Pelodiscus sinensis: one gene and its partner. The main gene of each other region encodes a partner of the protein of the gene in region 2 in a complex. Links are inferred from orthologs where the notes say so. Each region holds a gene or a part of one and is shown on either strand. Other genes may lie near its edges. The genes, in order: TBC1D20 and RAB1B.

What was found.
Region 1: the proteins of RAB1B (region 2) and TBC1D20 are in contact, whole or in part, in a crystal structure (PDB 4HLQ), measured with the Homo sapiens proteins. The link is inferred for Pelodiscus sinensis from reciprocal best matches to the Homo sapiens genes RAB1B and TBC1D20. Residues at the interface, in NP_112243.1 of Homo sapiens: Ser17, Gly18, Ser36, Tyr37, Ile38, Ser39, Thr40, Ile41, Gly42, Val43, Asp44, Phe45, Gln60, Trp62, Ala65, Gly66, Gln67, Arg69, Phe70, Thr72, Ile73, Tyr77, Glu94; in NP_653229.1 of Homo sapiens: Gln97, Gln98, Leu101, Asp102, Arg104, Arg105, Leu107, Arg108, His141, Tyr142, Tyr143, Gln144, Gly145, His147, Asp148, Phe177, Met178, Asp179, Pro180, Thr181, Met182, Lys186, Val212, Ile215, Leu218, Ser219, Thr223, His227, Met272, Ala273.

Annotation. Positions count from the first base shown.
Region 1 is NC_134728.1:2,049,307-2,058,533, forward strand, and holds the start of TBC1D20 (TBC1 domain family member 20), read right to left. Parts: upstream 4,148-9,227; 5' UTR 4,133-4,147; coding exon 3,895-4,132; intron 2,508-3,894; coding exon 2,427-2,507; intron 574-2,426; coding exon 387-573; intron 1-386. UniProt on the Homo sapiens protein: GTPase-activating protein (GAP) specific for Rab1 and Rab2 small GTPase families for which it can accelerate the intrinsic GTP hydrolysis rate by more than five orders of magnitude. Also shows GAP activity for RAB18 GTPase.
Region 2 is NC_134721.1:32,066,103-32,074,878, forward strand, and holds the start of RAB1B (ras-related protein Rab-1B), read right to left. Parts: upstream 3,502-8,776; 5' UTR 3,364-3,501; coding exon 3,350-3,363; intron 1-3,349. UniProt on the Homo sapiens protein: The small GTPases Rab are key regulators of intracellular membrane trafficking, from the formation of transport vesicles to their fusion with membranes.

The DNA of each region.
Region 1 (9,227 bases), on a different chromosome or scaffold from region 2:
CATTGCACCGCATGAAAAGTGATCACTGTGTTAGGCCGCCCTGGGGGAAGCCGTGGGAGTGACGTGGAGGGGGTGGCCACAGGAGGGCTATGACAGGGGGGTTTGCCCACAGTGCATTCAGGTCGGCTTCCCCCCGGCAGGGCTCTGAAGCCAAGAGCTATTCAGGCTGCTGCTCCTGCACTTTCCTGCATCTCTTGCCTTGTTACCACTGTTGGCTAAAAGCAGCCAGGCTGCGCATGCTTTGCTTCTCAGGCTCTAGGGTCGTCACTCTCCCTCCAGTCCCCGTGTAAATGGCAGGAAAGGCTTCTCTGCCACAGGCGGCGACTGACAGCGAAGGCGCAGGCAGCCCCTCGTCCCCTCGCTTTGCAGGAGCCGCGCTGACGTACCTGAGGTGGTGAGTCGAAAGCTTTTCCACGAGAGCCGTCGCCAGCCTCTCCCCCACGACCAGCAGGAACGTGACCACGATGTCGTGGTAGCCCTGGTAGTAGTGCAGCTGCGGGTTGCGCTGTAACACCTGCAGGATGATGTCGATCAGCTCTTCCTGGAGCCCTTCCCTCTGCTCATCTGGCATCCCTGTGGGGACAGCAGCAGATGGGCCTTGCATCAGGCTGAGCCGGAGCCCTGACAAGGTGCCTGCCACGTACTGCATCATCCGCCCACAGGAGCCACGTCTCACCAGCCGTTGGATGCAGACACGCTGCAATCTCCAGGGCCTGACAGCTATCAACTGGCCCTATCTGAGTGTGGCCTGCGCATGGGGCTAGAGACCAGCAACTCGTGGGTTCTCATCCTTGTTCCGGGACCTCCCGCTCCCCAATGGCCTTTGCAGAGTTGCTTAACCTTTTGTGCAGCAGTTTCTCCACCTGCACAATGGGAACATTAATATTCCCTTTGCAAGAAAAAGGGGGTATTTACTAGTGTTCGTAAAGCATCCTGAAGGTTAAATTAAAGATGTTAAATTGCGAGTAACTGACTAAACAAATAGTCAATGCATTTTGCATCAACTATTCAATTAGTCGATAGGGCGTCTGAAGTTGCTGCACTTCAAAGGCAAAAGTGCCACATGGAGCCTGAGGTCAGCTGGGGATTCCCCCGGGCTCCGTGCGGCCCTGCCACTTTGAAACGCCGCGGGGAGCTTGACGTCAAGCTCCTCGTGGCATTTCAAAGTGGTAGCACCCCGTGGAGCCTGGGATCAGCTAGGGACTCCTCCACTGCCACTTTGAAATGCCACATGCCGCCTGGGGACGCTGCCGCTTTCAAGTACCCCCCCCCCCCCCGCTGCCTCCTTCTGAGAGAGGCAGCAAGACAGGGAAAGTGACTAGTCGTTCACATCCCTAGGTTAAATTAATTATTTTTAGTATCCCAGAAGTCCTAAGAAATAAAACAATCCTCTTTTGTGAAAACTCTGTTGAGTGTGCAAAACTCACAGGCGCCACTGTCCTGCCCACCTCTAGACAGGGGTCTGTGTGTGGACAGAATGCATCTGTGGAACAGAACACCACATGTAGAGAAAACAGCACACGCACCCCCTTTGGCCAGGACCTGTATAAGTAGATACGGTGCCCCACGGCGGAACGAGCATCTCGCAAGCCCAAGCAAGGTTCAGACAACACAAAGATCTCTAAGCATTGTCAAAATACGGCCATTCCAGAGCAATAGGGTGCTAGCAGAAGCGTGAGCTGCAGAGATCTGCAGGGTGTCCACAATATACAGATAAGCTGAACGTGCTGACTGTTTATATGGAAGAAAAAAGCAGGCAGTGAAAACCAATTCCTGCCCAGGAGCAACAAGCAGCTGCTCTGCAAAGTCAGACGAGTGCAAAAGGGTCTATAAATAACACCAGGCACCAGCCAACCACAGGAACTAAGCAAATGCAAGAAGCTTTTGTCATTAAATGTTGAGAGTTGTTTTAGGCTGATGCATGAGAGTCACTGGAAAGAACACACTTTAGCAACGCTTAAAAAACAAAATCCATTTAAATCAGTAGCGAACGCAGGTTTCAAACCCAGATGTGTCTCTGCCCAAGGTACACAGAGGCAATGGTAAACCCCTCAAACACCAGACATGACTGTCACATCGAATGAACAGCAGTACATGGCAGGGCTGGCTATATCTGAGTCAGGCCCCTCTAAATACAGGGAGAGTTTTAACGGCAAGAGAGGGGCCAGCAGAATGAATCAGCGAGTTACGGATGAGAATTTTGTGTGGAAAGAACATGCTGAAAACCAGCTGCAGTGCAAGGAGAAGCCTGAGGCCATCTCTGAAGTGGGTGTTGGGCAAACAGAGGGGAAAGGCCTTTCCATTTCGGCGGGCCCCTGGAGGGTTGCTCCTACAGCTCTGCTGTGGCCCTAGAAGAGAGGCTGCACTGCACGGAGCTGGGGGGACAAGGTGCTCCTGGTGGCCACAGAACAGAGAGACCAGCTCACCGGGTGGGAAGCGGCGCAGGGATCGCCTCACGTCCAGCAGCACCTGCTGGTAGTCTTCATTGTCCTCTCGCAGCTCCTTCCCTGATGGAGAAAGAAGCACACTGCAAATCCAAGCAGGCCACCAAGCAGCATCTGCAGTGCCAGAGAAGAACGCTGTACAAGTCAAGGCTGAAACGTAGGCCGCAACTGCTCCTGAACCCAATTTTAGATCCCCGTTTCTACTTGTTACACACAAGCCCAGCGCTCTGCCTTTTACTGCTGTACACTCTGGCGTGGCCAATACCAACGTACGCCGTTCCAGAGCCAGACACCAAGACATTAATCTCTTTGGTACAAATACCGTTTCAAGATCCTTACATCATCTCTCCTTTGTCCTTCGGCTAAGTTCTTGCTCCATCACCATGCCACTGGAGTTAGGCAAAATATAGCTAAGACATGACACAGAGCAGCCGCAACTCACACGTTTAATAAATAGAAACTGAGTGAAATGAAGCATGGGTAGTTAAGATATTTAAAGCACTGTAAGTGGAAAGAAATCATTAGCATGCCATAAGCCATGCAAGCAGCTGCGTGGAGCTGAACATAAATCCCAGGTCTCCTGATCTGCATTTTTACAGCAACCATAGCTATCCAAGGACAACCAGGAATATACACACTTTTGAACAGATACTTCTGCTCACAAAAACCCATCTTATGCTCTGGGAGCAGTGGAAATAAAAAACACCACATATGGAACGCCTCCATTCAGTGTTCCCTCTTTTTTCCATTCCTGCGTGGAATAAATTTTGTTCTGTGCACCAAGGCAGGTGCAACTGTGCACCACCATTAGAAACACATGGTTCGGCTGTGGGCGTTCTGCTAATCAGCTGGGCGGCATCTGAATCTTTCTTGGGTGACTACTCAGGCACTCAGCTTACAGGGAATACAGCCTCCATGTCTGTGTCTCATTAAAAAGCAAGTTTTCCTTCCCTCAGATGTGACTTCTTCTATGTACAAGCTTCAATTTACAGTAATTTGGCCACTGCTTCACCCATGCCTGGGATAGGAACTTCCATTTAGTATTCAAGAAACCACGCTCCCATTTATGACAATGGAAGTTAAACTAGATATATTTGCAACGTGGCATTTTTTTGGTTTAACTAACATGCATTTTGGAAGCTAATCACACCGGATTGCACCAGCTGTGTTCCACACAATGTGGCCTAAAAGTAAAAGGGCTCTTACAGTGCAATGGAAAAATAATAAATTCAGGTAATTCCTGGATCTGCTATTAGCATAATTAAATACGTTAACACAGGTAAAACCACGGGCATCAGTCTGTGCAATTGTGACTCTCAAGCAAGCATCATGGAAAAGGCATCTTCGTTGACAGGAAAAACCCCACAAGTTACAAACAGCAGAACTCCAGCCCCAAGTACGTACAAAGATCTCTCAAGTTGGTCCCAAAGCACAACGGGCGACTCTGTACCTGGCGGAGGCGGCAGATCCTCTGTCTTCACATTGAGAAGATTTGGCCACACTTTGCAACGAATCTCGTCTGTCAGGAGACCCCCTTCGCTGATTGCCATTCGTCTGAGTGCAGCCACATCAATAGGGTCGCTGTTCAGGGCCTGATAAATCTCCGCTACTTTCCTTTGCTTCTTAGAATTATAGTCTGCAAGAGGCACACCACCCAAAGGGTTAGGCTTCCAGCTACTGGCCAGCATGCAAAAGGAAGGCACAGACTGACTTAGCTCACAATGCAAAGACTATATAAGACAACTGATTGAACACACACATTGGGTCACTCTGTCTAGAGATGGGAGAGGCCTAAGAGATGATTCACTCTGTTTCTTCAGGGCCAGATTATATAGAACCCATCATCAATGGATACCAAAGCATCTTGACCAATGGCCAGGCAGAACAGAGGCACTTTCACTGCGCCTCCTCCCTTCTACCAGCTCTGAAGTTCCTTCCCAGCCCCCTGCGAGATCTCTCTGCTTGCATCTGCAGAACTGTAGTGCCTATTGCAATCGCTAATGCTACCAGGACTTTCTTGTCCTTCAATTCAAACATGGTGTCAACAGAACTGCCACTGCACCGGATGCAGTAGTTACTATTCAAAGTCACTTACAACTGTTTGCCTTCATGGCCTGGATGGCTCAGCTTCCAGCTGAGAGGTCAAAAGTTTTACAAGACTGGGGCGCAGTCTGTGTTCCTACTGGCTGGCAACTAGACTCTAGTATTGTTCGGTTGAGCTTGCCCCACCAAATCGGTACCTAGAAATACCACCTAACTGAAAATTTCCCCATGCTGCCCTATGCACTCAGGGGACCTTATTTACATTAGAATTATACTCCATTTTCATACAGATCATAGCCGCCCCCCCCTCCCCCCCCCCCCGTGTTGCTAGGACTGGTCAAATTAATATTTGTAAAGTGAAATGTCAGGGCTAAGCACTATCCAGCAAATACACAATGATGCCTTCGTAAGACATTTGATCTTTAAGGACACGAGGCGGGGAAAAGGACGACACATAACGCATGGACTGAACAGATACAGGATACAGAAATCTTTCCTTAGAGCAGATTCCAGCACAGCCATATTTTCAGTGGGTTCCTTGCCAGCACTATTCTATATTTGGGAAAAGGCAGGCAGCTGAGAATCAGCTGATTTCCATACACTTTGGCAGCAAAATCCTTCTGTATGTGTGAAGGTTTTGTTTGAGATCCAGCCTGCCTTCAGAAACTTTTCCAACAGGATCCTGTTTTTGCAGCTTCAGTCAAAACCCCTCTCACAATCCATTATAAGGCCCTTTTGATTTGAACTGTATTCAATTCATATTAAGTCAGTCAGGATGGGATTTTTTTTATGGGGGGAGGGGGATCTGAAACTGGCCTAATGGAGAAATCTGTTCATTTTCCTACCGTGATTTCACTGACTGAAGTTTACAGTAGCCCATTGAACATTTGACACCAGAGGTGTTTCCTGCCCCCTGCTCATGCACACTTGTTTGCTACTGGAGAGCTACTCCAGAGTGCTCAGTTTAGCACATTATGTTCTGAAGTCTCTGAAGGAGAGAAATGAGCATGACAGGATTTTCAAACACCTGCAAACAAGCAAGGAGGTCAAGTTGTGGATGGGACCCATCTAAACAGCCCCCCTTTCAAAACTCACTTTTTTGTATAGCTTGTTTTTCAACCAAGTTCTGTTTAGTTTTTGACAGGACTGCAGCTCCCTTATAAGAAACAAGTCTCCTGATGTCAATAGGCAGAGAAAGTTATCAAAACCACACCCAGCAGTTCTAGTATCCATGTATTTCCTTCTTTTGGCCGCACAACCAAGAAGTTACCTTTTTTCTACTCAGTTACTGCCTAACGCTTGAATGTCAGCACAAACATGGGATTGGCACCCAGTGAATGAATCAAGGAAGAGGAGGAGAGAAAGCTTACAAAAGAGAAAGCTCCTGTTTTATACTAAAAGAATTTAAGCAGCAACACCAAGGAAAGAAAATATGTGCTGCACTGGCCTCCCCCACATTCAATTATTTTTAACTTTTACCAGCATGAACATCAAGAACCGTTGTGTGGGGGTGGAAAGAATGCATGTTGTCAAACATGTTTTTGATCCACCACCAACTTCTACTCAAGTCCCCAGCAAGTATCAATCACCAACACCCTCTTCGAGAGAAACGTGCAGCCACAGGGATGAGATGGGTTTTATTATACAAGTAATTCCTGGTCCTCCATAAAAATAAGGCTCAGCTGGCTAGTGGATTTTGTTTTATGTCCAGGACTAAAGAGCCTGGGACAGATGCTCTCTTTCCAACAGCTAAATAAAGACATAAAACAAAGATGCAGATGATCACCAAGGCTGCTGAAGGCCTACATAGAGAGGGTCACATGTTCCAGTTTCTGATTTCAGCAATTATGCTGCAGAACTCTACATTTCAATGGTACGAGGAAAGAGACGGCACTGGCTCCCCAGTGATAATATTGAACGTGTAAGTAACACTTTGTAAAGACTGCAGCCCTCCTATGAAGGCAGCAAATATTCTCTCATTTTACAGATGAGAAAACTGAGGCTCAAAGACTTCTAAAGGAACTGTCCCATGCCCTACCGAGAACAGAGCTTCCAGACCCACATTCAAACCAGTCGCTGAGCCCGCAGATCCCAGGCAATGGAAGAAGAATTACGTTCCGCTTGTCAAGACACAAAACTAAGCCTTCCCTCTTTGACTTGCTTTTCTGCTAAACACTCATTGGGAGGACTCAGGCGCTTTAAGATAAGCATGGGCACAGCAGCAAGACTGGGCCAACGGCACTGCTATGACGCGAAAGGTGCATTTTTTGTGTTTCAGAAGCACACGAGAGCGGGGCCCTATGGTGGTAGGGGGTGGACAAACACATGAGCCCCAGAGTCTGGCTGGAGGTAAATGGAAGGCAGCCGACAGCAGGAAGGGAAGAAGAGGGGTGACTGGAGGAAGGCAGCAGCTCTGCTACTACCTATTGGCAGAGTGCGATTTGCTTTCTAAAAACGCTTTGGAAGGCCACTGACCCTTTCCCGGGATCATCACAGTCCGGCCCTGCGCCCCCAGGATCTGCGCCTAGTTCTGGGACCAACAGGCACGACCCCTGGGGGTACCCCCAGCGCGGCCTGTCAGCTGGGGTGGCTGCCCACGAGAGTCAAACGCCGCCCCTCGGATCAACAGAGCGCCCGCAGCCTCCCTCCCGGGGGTGCACCGCCGCGCGGGCCCCGGTGCACCGCACAAAATTTATTCCGCACAGGGATGGGAACAGGTTCGAGGGATCCACCCCCCCGCAGCGGGTCACGAAGCCCCGCCCCCGCCGCAGCGCCAGGGCACCCGGAGCCCCGCCCCCCGGGCGTTAACACCGCCCCCCCCCCCGCCAGAAACCGCCGCAACGCTCGAGGGGCCCCGGCGGGGGGCGGGGCTGGCGGCTCGGGGCCCGGGTCCCCCCCCCGCTGGGCCCGGCCCGTACCGTGCGGCGGCGCCGGCCTGCGCAGGGACATGGTCTCCGGGAGCCGCGGCGCATCCCGGCCGGGCGGGGCCCGGCTCCGCTTCCTGCCCCGAGCTCCGCCCCGCCTCCGCGCGCGCGCCCTACGTCCTACGTCACCGCGGCGAGCAGAACGAAGCCATTTTGCGCGTGCGCCTCGGGCTGACACCGCCTCCGGGCTGGGGGGGGCGGGGAAGAGAAGGCAGATGCGCGCGCCGCTCCTCCAGCCCGGGACCCGCCCCTCCCCTGCAATGCTCCTGCCGCCGCGCAGCGCCGGCTCCAGCTTGAAACGGCGCGTGCCGGGCGGGGGAGGAGCACGCGCCGGCCAGCTCCAGCCCGCACGTGCATGGCCCTGGCCGCAGCCAGCGCTGCTTTCTGCATCCCTGCAGGGCTAGCGGACGGCGGGGAGACCCTCCCCCCCCCAGCTTGCACCGGGGGGGGGGGGGGGGCAGAAGGGGTGACAGAGACAGAGCTTTGCCCAGCTGGTGCCAGACTTAGACTAGCCCAAACTAGCACCTGCAGCCACAGCGGGGAGGGGGTGCGCGCATGTGGACAGAAAGCAAATGTTCTGCAGGCTGCGCGGGGCAGAGCAAGCTCGACTAGCAGAGTTTCAGGAGACAGACATGAAGGGCAGCTCACAGGCCTTTGGAAAACAGATTTTTTAACACTGGCCAGACACGTGGGCTGTGTCTACACTGGCATGAATTTCTAGAACTGCTTAAAACGGAATACTATTCCGTTTTCAGTTTTTCCGGAAAAGGAGCGTCTACATTGGCAGGCTGCTTTTCCGGAAAAGCCCTTTTCCTGGAAAAGCGTCTGTGGCCAACGTAGATGCGCTTTTCCGGAAAAAAGCCCCGATTGTCATTTTCGCGATCGGGGCTTTTTTCCAGAAAAGACTACTGGGCTGTCCACACAGGCCCTTTTCCGGAACAGTGTTCCGGAATAAGGACTTATGCCCGAGCAGGAGCAGAATAGTTTTTCCGGAATAGCGGCTGATTTTGTACAGTAGAGCGTCGTTACTTTTCCAGAAATTCAAGGGCCAGTGTAGACAGCTCGCAGCTTATTCCGGAAAAGCGGCTGATTTTCTGGAATAACTGGCCCAGTGTAGACACAGTCGTGGAGAAACTGATCTCAAAGCCAGGAAGATGATATCCATAATCAGAGGAAGACTCAACTAGTTTGTTCTGGGAAACAAGGCTGTTTTCTAGTAGGAGTAGGTAGATGACAGACCTCAAGCTACTGTTATCAATTTCCAGGTTGAATTATGTAAAGCAGGCACTGAAGGACCCAGCCCTGAAACAGGGAGCTTCCTGCCTTGAGCAGGGGGCTGGACTTGATGGCCTTCTGAGGTCTCTTTCAGTTCTATGAATTAGTGCTCACATTCACCTTACATTCTTTACAGCAATACTTAATGTGAACAAAAATCCAGAAGAGGAAAAATATGCTTATGATTTGTTAGAGCACATGTTAACCAAGGCCTCCCCCTCCCCCCCCCACTGTGTGTATCTATGGCTAATTCTAACAGAAGTTGCATGTAGCAAGGAGGGTTTAGCTTAAAGTAGTGGGGGAGTATAGTAGCAGTGTAGAAATGAAAAGAAGAACAATTAGATGTTCATATTATGACAGGCGGAATAATATTCTCTCAAATTCAGTGACAACTCCTCCACAGGTTCTATGAAGGATCAGATAGATCACACCTATATTTCAAAGTTTAGTTTGTTGGCAGACATACGTACACGTGTACAGAGGAGCTGATGCAGGCAGCGACCATAACCTTGGTATCATTAAACAAGTTCAAGAGGATGAA
Region 2 (8,776 bases):
GGTAATGGACGCTCTTACAGAAGAGTTCCCCAGGATGTTCAAACCCCATGGCAGGCCTGTATGGGCACTGAGCAAAGAGGCCAAGGCATAGCCAATGTTGTAGTTTCACAGCAGGATGCCAGGCTTTGAGCACTAAGTCCAGCCACAGGGTGTGTAACAAATCTCCATCACCACCAGTTTGATGCTGCTGCAAGACGAACAAACCTTTCCATGATTACCAGATATATGCACGCTGCCTTTCAAGTGCTGCTGCTTCAAGTTGCCCTAGAATCTTTTGCACCATCCCCCGATACTTCCAAGGATTCATGTGGGATTAGTACAATCAATCATCAGGCATTTGATTGCTTCTGGCATAGGAGGGCTTGATGTAACAATCAACAGGCCAATGTAGCTCACCATGCCAGCTGCATCATCCCTCACTGGCCCAACTAGCCTGGGCACACAAGCAAGTTAAACTGACAGTAGGCAATGCACACACACCCCATTTCCTGAGTGTGTTTTGCTAGTGGCAAGAGGACAGGAAGCCCTGACTCATGCTAACTCCTGTCACTTTCCCTTTGATTCAACATGCATAGATAGAGGTTTTGGGATGGTCCCAACCTGACTTCAATGGGGGAGCACGACTAGTTAGCCAAGAAAATGCACCCCTACAGGTCAAAAATTCAGCAAACAAATGCTGGTTCAGTTTGAGACTGCCCAAACCCCACCCACTATTTCTGGAGTTTCCATACTCCTGGTGCCTTTCACACAATAGCCTCAGGGGTGGGGAACTATTTTTAGGTCAGGAGCTGCTGACCCACAGAAAAAGAGTCAGTCAGGGGCTGCACACAAATGAAAAGTAACACACCAAAACCCTCACTGAAGCAGCCCCTGATTGAGAAGAATAAAGACATTCTCCACATTCACCTCACACACCAGAACCTGGGGGGGAGGAAGGGAGGGAGCACTACACTAGTAGACTCTGTGCTCCAGCCCCATGTAGGGATAGCTGGGGGGGGGGGGGGTGGCACAAGGGGAGGAGCTGGCACACCAATGCTGACTCCCCAGTGCTGGGGAGGAGCCCTGAGCCTCAGGGGCTGGATCCAGGCAAGCCAGGGGCCATATCGGGCCCCTATGTTGCCCTTCCCTGCCATAGCCATCTTCATGCATTTCAGACACTTCACCCACACCTGTAAAGCAGCCACTTCTGGGGTGGGAAATAGCAACTGTTAAACAGCCAACAAAGCTACTAGCAAGAGCACAATCCTGTATCCATTTGAAACTGCAGAGAGAGGGGTCTTACGGTAACAAAATAGAATGGCCCAAGAATGGCTGAGAAGAAAAAGGGCATTGGGCTCCATGAGATCAGATTCTTATTTGAAAGGCAGAATCACAGGAACCAGAGTGCCAGATCTTGGCTCTGACAAGCTGCTATGAAAAGTTTGAGGGCAGCTGCATTCAGAAAGGCAGCCAGCACACTTGAGAAGTAGGGGAAGGATCTGGTGTGCCCCAACAATTCAATAGGGAGTTCTGCCAGTCTGATGGACATTTTCTTTCCCAGAAAGCTCCTCTCACTCACAAAGCCACCTGCCATTAGTACTAAACGGCTGCTCAGAGAGGCCACACTCCTAGCTTAATCTGATCAGGGCCAGACCCCCAGAGCCATCTGAGTTGCTATTGCTTTCACCGCCTTCCTCCAGCAAGCAAGCAATTTGGACAAGGCCTTCTGCCCAGGTCTCCCAACAGCTAGCAAGAATCAGCTTCCCTATGTGCCCACTTTGATGTGGCTCCAAAAAGGCCATTCCTGAGCTCTCTCAAGGGCCCCAGAACGACAGTCACAAACAAGTTCTGGAAGCAGTCAGAGCACTTCCCACTTCAGTCAGTGCAGGTCAGTCTAGTGCAGGGCTACTCAACTTTGGAAGCGGGGGGTGGGGGACGACGACGACAATGCCTCAAAGCACATGCTGAGGGCTGCAACTTAAGTGTGGTTGTATATACACACACACGTAAATATATGCAAACAGCTTCGTTCACACTGACGGGCATGAGTACAAGACACTTTTCACAATGCCCTGGGGCTCACAGCACCTCCTCTCTGGAGGCTAGAAATGCCGACACCCTGTACCCATCTGTTCCAACCAGCCTGTCCAGTTGCGTCTTTCAGTGCTCACCCCAACTGGGAGATGCCCCACTGTTGGGAAGTGTGTTCTCAGTAGAGGCCATGTTCAAAGGATCCCACCCACAAGCCACATGTTGAGCCCCACGTAAACCAAAACCACACCGTGGGCCTCAAGCAAATAGGACACGTGTTCAGTAGCCCTGGTCTAGTAGGAAGGGCATTCCACATCCCTTGCAGTGGAAGCAGCAGTGGAGGATTTAAAGCAGGCCTGTGAATCACAAACTGGACTCTTCCCCTCTACTACTGAGAAGCAGCTATGATAATTAGCAGTGGGTCCCTTTCATTAAAACAAGATGCTGTGGTGTATAGCCATCACCACAGAGAGGAAGGTTCAAGTCCAAAAGCATTGCATCGAAATGCAACAGTTTGTAAGGGCACCCCCCTGTGGTGGAAAGCCCACCCCCCGAAACACATGGGGTGAAGCCCCCCAGGTTACAGGAGGGCAATGGGCAAATGCAACCCTCTGCCAAGGCCTGAATGGGCGCAGACACATCAGCCCTTGAGAGAAAGGCTGGCGCCGTTGATTAGGCCACCAACCTAGACACGGGGCACCCAGCTCAGAGACTCCCTGTCCATGGGCCAGTGGCTCGGGTCTCATTTACACACGTAGCCCCGCTCTGCTGCCCCCAGCCTGGTTGCCGCTGGAGCGCGCCTGCTACCCCGGGCCGCAAGGAGGGCGGGTGGCGAGCGTGTTCTCGGAGTAACCCTGCCCACCCTGGGACAGAACCCCCCCCCCCCCCGCCACCCTGGGACAGAACCCCCCCCCCCCGCCACCCTGGGACAGAACCACCCACCCCCAGGCCTTTGTGACGCGCCGCGACCACGGGCCCGATCCCCCCCCGACCGCCTCTCGGCAGGCGCTGGGGCAGACGGAGCCACCCCGCAGGGAGCTGCGCTTCCCGGGGCCGCTCTCCCCTGGAGCGGTCTCCCCCGCCCCCACCCGGCGCTGGGGGGCCGAGAGGGGAACTGACGGGCCCGTGACGGGGCAGCTCCAGGGCGGGCCGGGCAGAGGAGGCGGGGGTCCCGGCCGGGGGGCGCCCCGCAGGCACGGAAGGGCAGCAGGGGCGGGGCCACGGGGATGTGAGGGCGGGCGGCTCCGGGGTCCTAGCCGGGGTGAGGGAAGCTGCCGCGAGGGGCTTCAGCCCGCCTGAGGCACGGGGGTCCCGGTCCCGCCCCTGCCCTCGCACTCACTACTCGGGGTTCATGGCGGCGCCCCCGCGATGGTTTCGGCTCCTCCTCACTCACAAGATGGCGGCGGCCTGCGGCTTCCCCCCTTTCGGTCCTTCCCCCTCCCCTCTAAGGGGTGGCTCTACCAATGCGCAAGTGCGGAGTACAGCCCCCCGGCACCATGGGATATGTAGTATCTCCGCTTGCGCTTGGCCACGCCCCTTTCCTCCGCAGCTGAACTCATGACCTCATCAAAGGCGTGGTTTCTCGTGCCCAGGCTTCACGCGCGCTACGTCCAGATGCTCCGCCCTTTGCGTCAGGCACGCAATCCCTGACGGGATATGTAGTTTTTTTGCCGGACGCTCAGTGTCTCTTTCACTTAAGCCTACAGCCGCAAAAGCCCCTGGGCCCTGTAGTTTCTTCACCAGATCAAGCTAACTTCAGAACCCATGAGCTACAGAGCACCAGGGTTGGGACCAGGACTTTTGGGTTCTAGCCCCAGCTCTGGGAGGGGAGAGGGTCTAGCGGTTATAACCAGGAATTAGGACTCTAGAGGTGCACAAGTAAACCACTGGTTGCATGGGTCACCGTTACCTTTAGCCTGTGTTGCATTTGCCTCTAAAGCTAATTTCAGTGAAACACATTCTTGTGCTTGCATCACGGGACAGGGGAAAGTGACACTCCCAATCCATCTTTCAAATGCCCCGTTCTTAGGGTTATGTGCAACCCAGTGCTACAGAACAGGACCTGCATTTAGTACAGTCGTGGGCAATAATTTTGACCGGGGGGGGGGCACTTAAGGAAATTTTGGTATATGGTCACGGCCATGCTCCACACCTGGAAGAGATGGGGCTTGGGCGGAAGGGGTGGGGCTGGGGAATCCTAGAACTCTAGAACTGTAAGGGACCTCGAGAGGTAATTGAGTCCAGTCCTCTGGCCTCACAGCAGGACCCGTACCATCTAGACCATCCCTGAGAGATGTCTATCTAACCTGCTCTTAAATATCTCCAGAGATGGAGATTTCATAACCTCCCTAGGCAATTTATTCCAGTGTTTAACCACCCTGACAGGAAGTTTTTCCTAATGTCCAACCTAAACCTCCCTTGCTGCAGTTTAAACCCATTGCTTCTTGTCCTGTCCTCAGAGGCTAAGAGAACAATTTTTCTCCCTCCTCCTTGTGACACCTTTTTAGATACCTGAAAACCGCTATCATGTCCCCTCTCAGTCTTCTCCTTTCCTAACTAAACAAGCCCAATTCTTTCAGTCTTCCTTCATAGCTCATGTTCTTTAGCTCTTTAATCATTCTTGTTGCTCTTCTCTGGACCTCCAATTTCTCCACATCTTTCCTGAAATGTGGTGCCCATTGCTCAGTGAGGAGAGAGAAACAGTAACAGGAAACTTGGAAATGGCAGAGGTGCTTAATGACGTCTTTGTTTCGGTATTCACCAAGAAGTCTGATGATGAAGGAATGTCTAACATAGTGAATACTAGGGGAATGGGGTAGGTTTAGAAGATTAAAAAAAAACAAGTTAAAAATCACTTAGAAAAGTGAGATGTCTTCAAGTCACCAGGGCCTGATGAAATGGAGCTCATAGAGGAGGTATCTGAGTCCTTAGCTATCATCTTTGAAAAATCATGGAAGACTGGAAAAGGGCAAATTAGTGCCCTTCTATAAAAAGGGAAATAAGAACAACCCAGGAAACTATAGACCAGTCAGCTTAACTTCTGTGCCAGGGAAGATATTGGAGCAAGTAATTAAGGAATTCATCTGCAAACACCTGAAAGATAATAAAGTGATAGGTAACAGCCAGCATGGATTTGTAAAGAACAAATCATGTCAAACCAATCTGATAGTTTTCTTTGGTAGGATAACGAGTTTTGTGGATAAGGGACAAGCGGTGGACGTGGTATACCTAAACTTTAGCAAGGCATTTGATACAGTATCGCATGATCTTATCAGTAAACTAGGCAAATACAACTTAGTTGGGGCTAGTATAAGGTGGGTGCATAACTGGCTGGATAACCATTCTTAGAGAGTAGTTATTAACGGTACACAATCCTGCTGGAAAAACAAGTGGGGCTTCACAGAGGTCTGTTTTGGACCGGTTCTGTTCAATATCTTCATCGACGATTTAGGTATTGGCATAGAGAGTATGCTTATTAAGTTTGCAGATGATACGAAGCGGGGAGGGGTTGCAACTAAGGATGTTAAATATCAGTTAATTCACTAGTCAAGTAGTAAATTCACTAGTCAATAGGCACTTCCGCATTCCTCCTTTGAAATGAGGAATGCAGAACTTTGCGTGCAGCCCGGGTCCAGCAGGAAGTCCTGCTAATTCTGGGCTGAACGTGGGCATGCCAGCTTTGAAATGTACAAGAGTCCCCAGGATGGGACTCAGAGTCCCCCACTGATTCCAGGCTCCATAAGGGTGCTTCCACTTTGAAATGCCACGTAGAGACCAGAGTCACCTGGGGAGTCCCCAGCTGACCGCAGGCACCATACAGCAGCTGCCACTTTGAAACACTGAGGTGGCGTTTCAAAGGGGCAGCACCACATTGCTGAGCAGGGGGTCAGCTGTGAGGCACCGCCACTTTGAAATACTCCCTCTTTCCCCTCACTTTGCTGCCTCTGATAGAAGCAGCAAGTGGGGGGCGGAATCGACTAGTCAACTAGTCATTAACATCCTTAGTTGCAACTGCTTTGGAGGCTAGGGTCATAATTCAAAATGATCTTGAGAAACTGGAGAAATGGCCTGAGGTAAATAGGATGAAGTTTAATAAGGACAAATACAAAGTACTCCACTTAGGAAGGAAAAATCTGTGTCACGCATACAGAATGGGAAGTGACTGTCTAGGAAGGAGTACTGCAGAAAGGGATCTAGGGGTTATAGTGGACTACAAGATAAATATGAGTCAACAGTGTGACGCTGTTGCAAAAAAAGCAAACGTGATTCTGGGATGCAATAACAAGGAGTGTTGTGAGCAAGACATGAGAAGTCATTCTTCCGCTCTACTCTGCGTTGATTAGGCCTTTCTAATCTTGCCCCTGCATTCCTGTATTCTTTGCTTATATTCATCCTTTGTAATTTGTCTTAGTTCCCACTTTTTATACAACACCTTTTTGATGTTTAGATCATTCAAGATCCCCTGGTGAAGCCAAGGCGGTCTTTTGCCTGACTGGCCTCCTCCCAGAACTGTCTGGGGCCAGAAACTTTGAATTAAAATTACAGCAAAGTGCTTGTAGCTCCTGCCCCGCCACTACTACGTTGCCTGGTAGATGCCTGGGGTTGCTGCGGCTATTTAAAAGGTTCGCAGCTCCAGCCTCTGCCAGGGTAGCACTGCCACCTGGAGCAGGGAACCATTTAAATAGGATCCTGCTGCCTGAGCCTCTACATGGAAATTCAGTGGCACAGGCAACAGGATATAAATAGAGAGCAGCCAGATGCAGTTCGGGGGCCGGATCAAAGCGTTAGGCGGGCTGGATCAGGCCCCGGGGCTACATCTTGCCCTGCCCTGATCTAGAACTTAATTATGAGGCTGGCTGCAGAAATGATGGGGAGCAGTGCCCGCTGGCTTGGGTGATAGATTTTGTCTGTTCATCTATAATCCTCGGGGATCTCATGCAGCCCCCCATGTGGACAGCGTTTTAGATGCTCAAGAGCACCATACTCTATGCAATAAATACCCCTGACACATATAGTTGTCCCACTAGAAGGGTCCATCGGGCACATCCAGAGCAGGGGTATAGAAGAAAGAGTCTGTCCAGATACTGTTGGGAGCAGGACAGGAACACTGGCTGCAGGGGCAGCTCACAATTGCCCCATCCCTGGCCTCTTCTAGCAGATGACACTATCAGGACAAGCAAAGGAGCACTAGCTACGCGGGGAGCTCCTCCCTGACCATTCCACAGCCTGCTTCTCCCAGTGAGGAGCACTCACAGCATGGGGGAAGCTCTGGGCTACTCCACTCTAGGATACTCCTGCAGGAAACACTCGGGGTAGGGGGAGCTGGCTGAGGAGCTCCCAGCTTCTCCTAGCAGTGAGTGCTATAGGGTATGAAGTAGGAACTGTGGGGCCTGACCCACAGGGTGAGGGGACTTCTGGCTACTCCAGCCCTGGCCGTCCATGTGGGGGCATCATAAAGAACATAGCAAGGAATAGCAGAGTTCCAGGCTGGCACCCATGATATTTCATAGAATACAGAGAAGGAGCCAAAATACAACATATTCCTGTTGAACGACTGAACCACAATGCTATATTATTTCTGAGAAATCACAATACAAACATAGCAACCCAGCTAGCGAGAGAGAAAGCCCCTTGCTCTCTAAAAATCAGAATGGTCCAGCTCACCTCACTTTGCCGTAGGCTGACTGGTTGCAAACCAACTCTGCTGAAATGCATGTAGGCTTTACTGCAGAGCCCTCTAGCCTGCAAGCAGAACCAGGAACCCGTGTTCAGCCTCCCAAGCGATAGCATGCTGCTGCAATTCCAGCACGGTTCTCAATGCACCACCGCTGTGCTCTCACGCTGGGGCTACTGTCCTGGGAATCCCATTGCTGGGCTCTCCCCTACCCAAGTCATGGATACGTTCTCCCGGGGCCTGCCTGAGCAGGGGCACCTCTCCTGAATAGTCTGACGCCTCTGCGGGATGGGGGAGGCTACTGGGTCCTCCCCCCAAAGTTTAGAGGAGAGGGTCAGCCAGGCTCTTTGGAGGGTTAGGGACAGGGAGGAAGGAAAGCTTCCAAGACCATTACAAGGACTGAGGGCACACGGGTGGGACTACTCCAGTCCATCAGCATATCCAGCAGCTCTGATTTGCTGCCCTTCCCCAGGCAGCCAGAAAAGGTAGCCAATCAGAGGGAGCTTCACAACAGCATGGGTTGGAGTGACAGTAACGGAGAGACAACAGGGGACAGGGACATGAGAAATGAATAGAAGTATCTATATTTGGGGTGGGGACAGGCATTGTCCATATGCAAATGTATCCAAATTGCTGGCAGGGGCGCACCAGGTGGTGCTTTTCCTCCAGCCCCAGCTCCCAGAGCCCTGGGCCAATGGGCTAATCACAGCCCATCTTTCTGTGCTGGCAGTGGAGAGATGCTGGGAAGAGACGCCCTCGGTATGGTCCCATAGGTGCTAGTTCTCAGAGATCACGGTGGCCTCAGCTGAACTCCTGCTGTGCAGCCTGGCTCATGGTGGCGCAGCGCTGCAGCCAGCGGGCTGCTCCCAGCAGCTAAGCTCAGAACTGAAACTGCAGCTGAGATAATGCAGGGTCTTAAACCCCCAAACAGCACCCCCAGTCTGTGAGTGTATGGGGGGGCAGGGGCTGCCACACCTGGCTCAAGGGTGCACTGACAGAGGCCAATTCCACAGACTGGGATTCCCTACTAATATACCTCCTTGGTGCTGGGTCAGAGCCTGCGGCCCCTAGAGGGGACTAGCCCCATTCCCC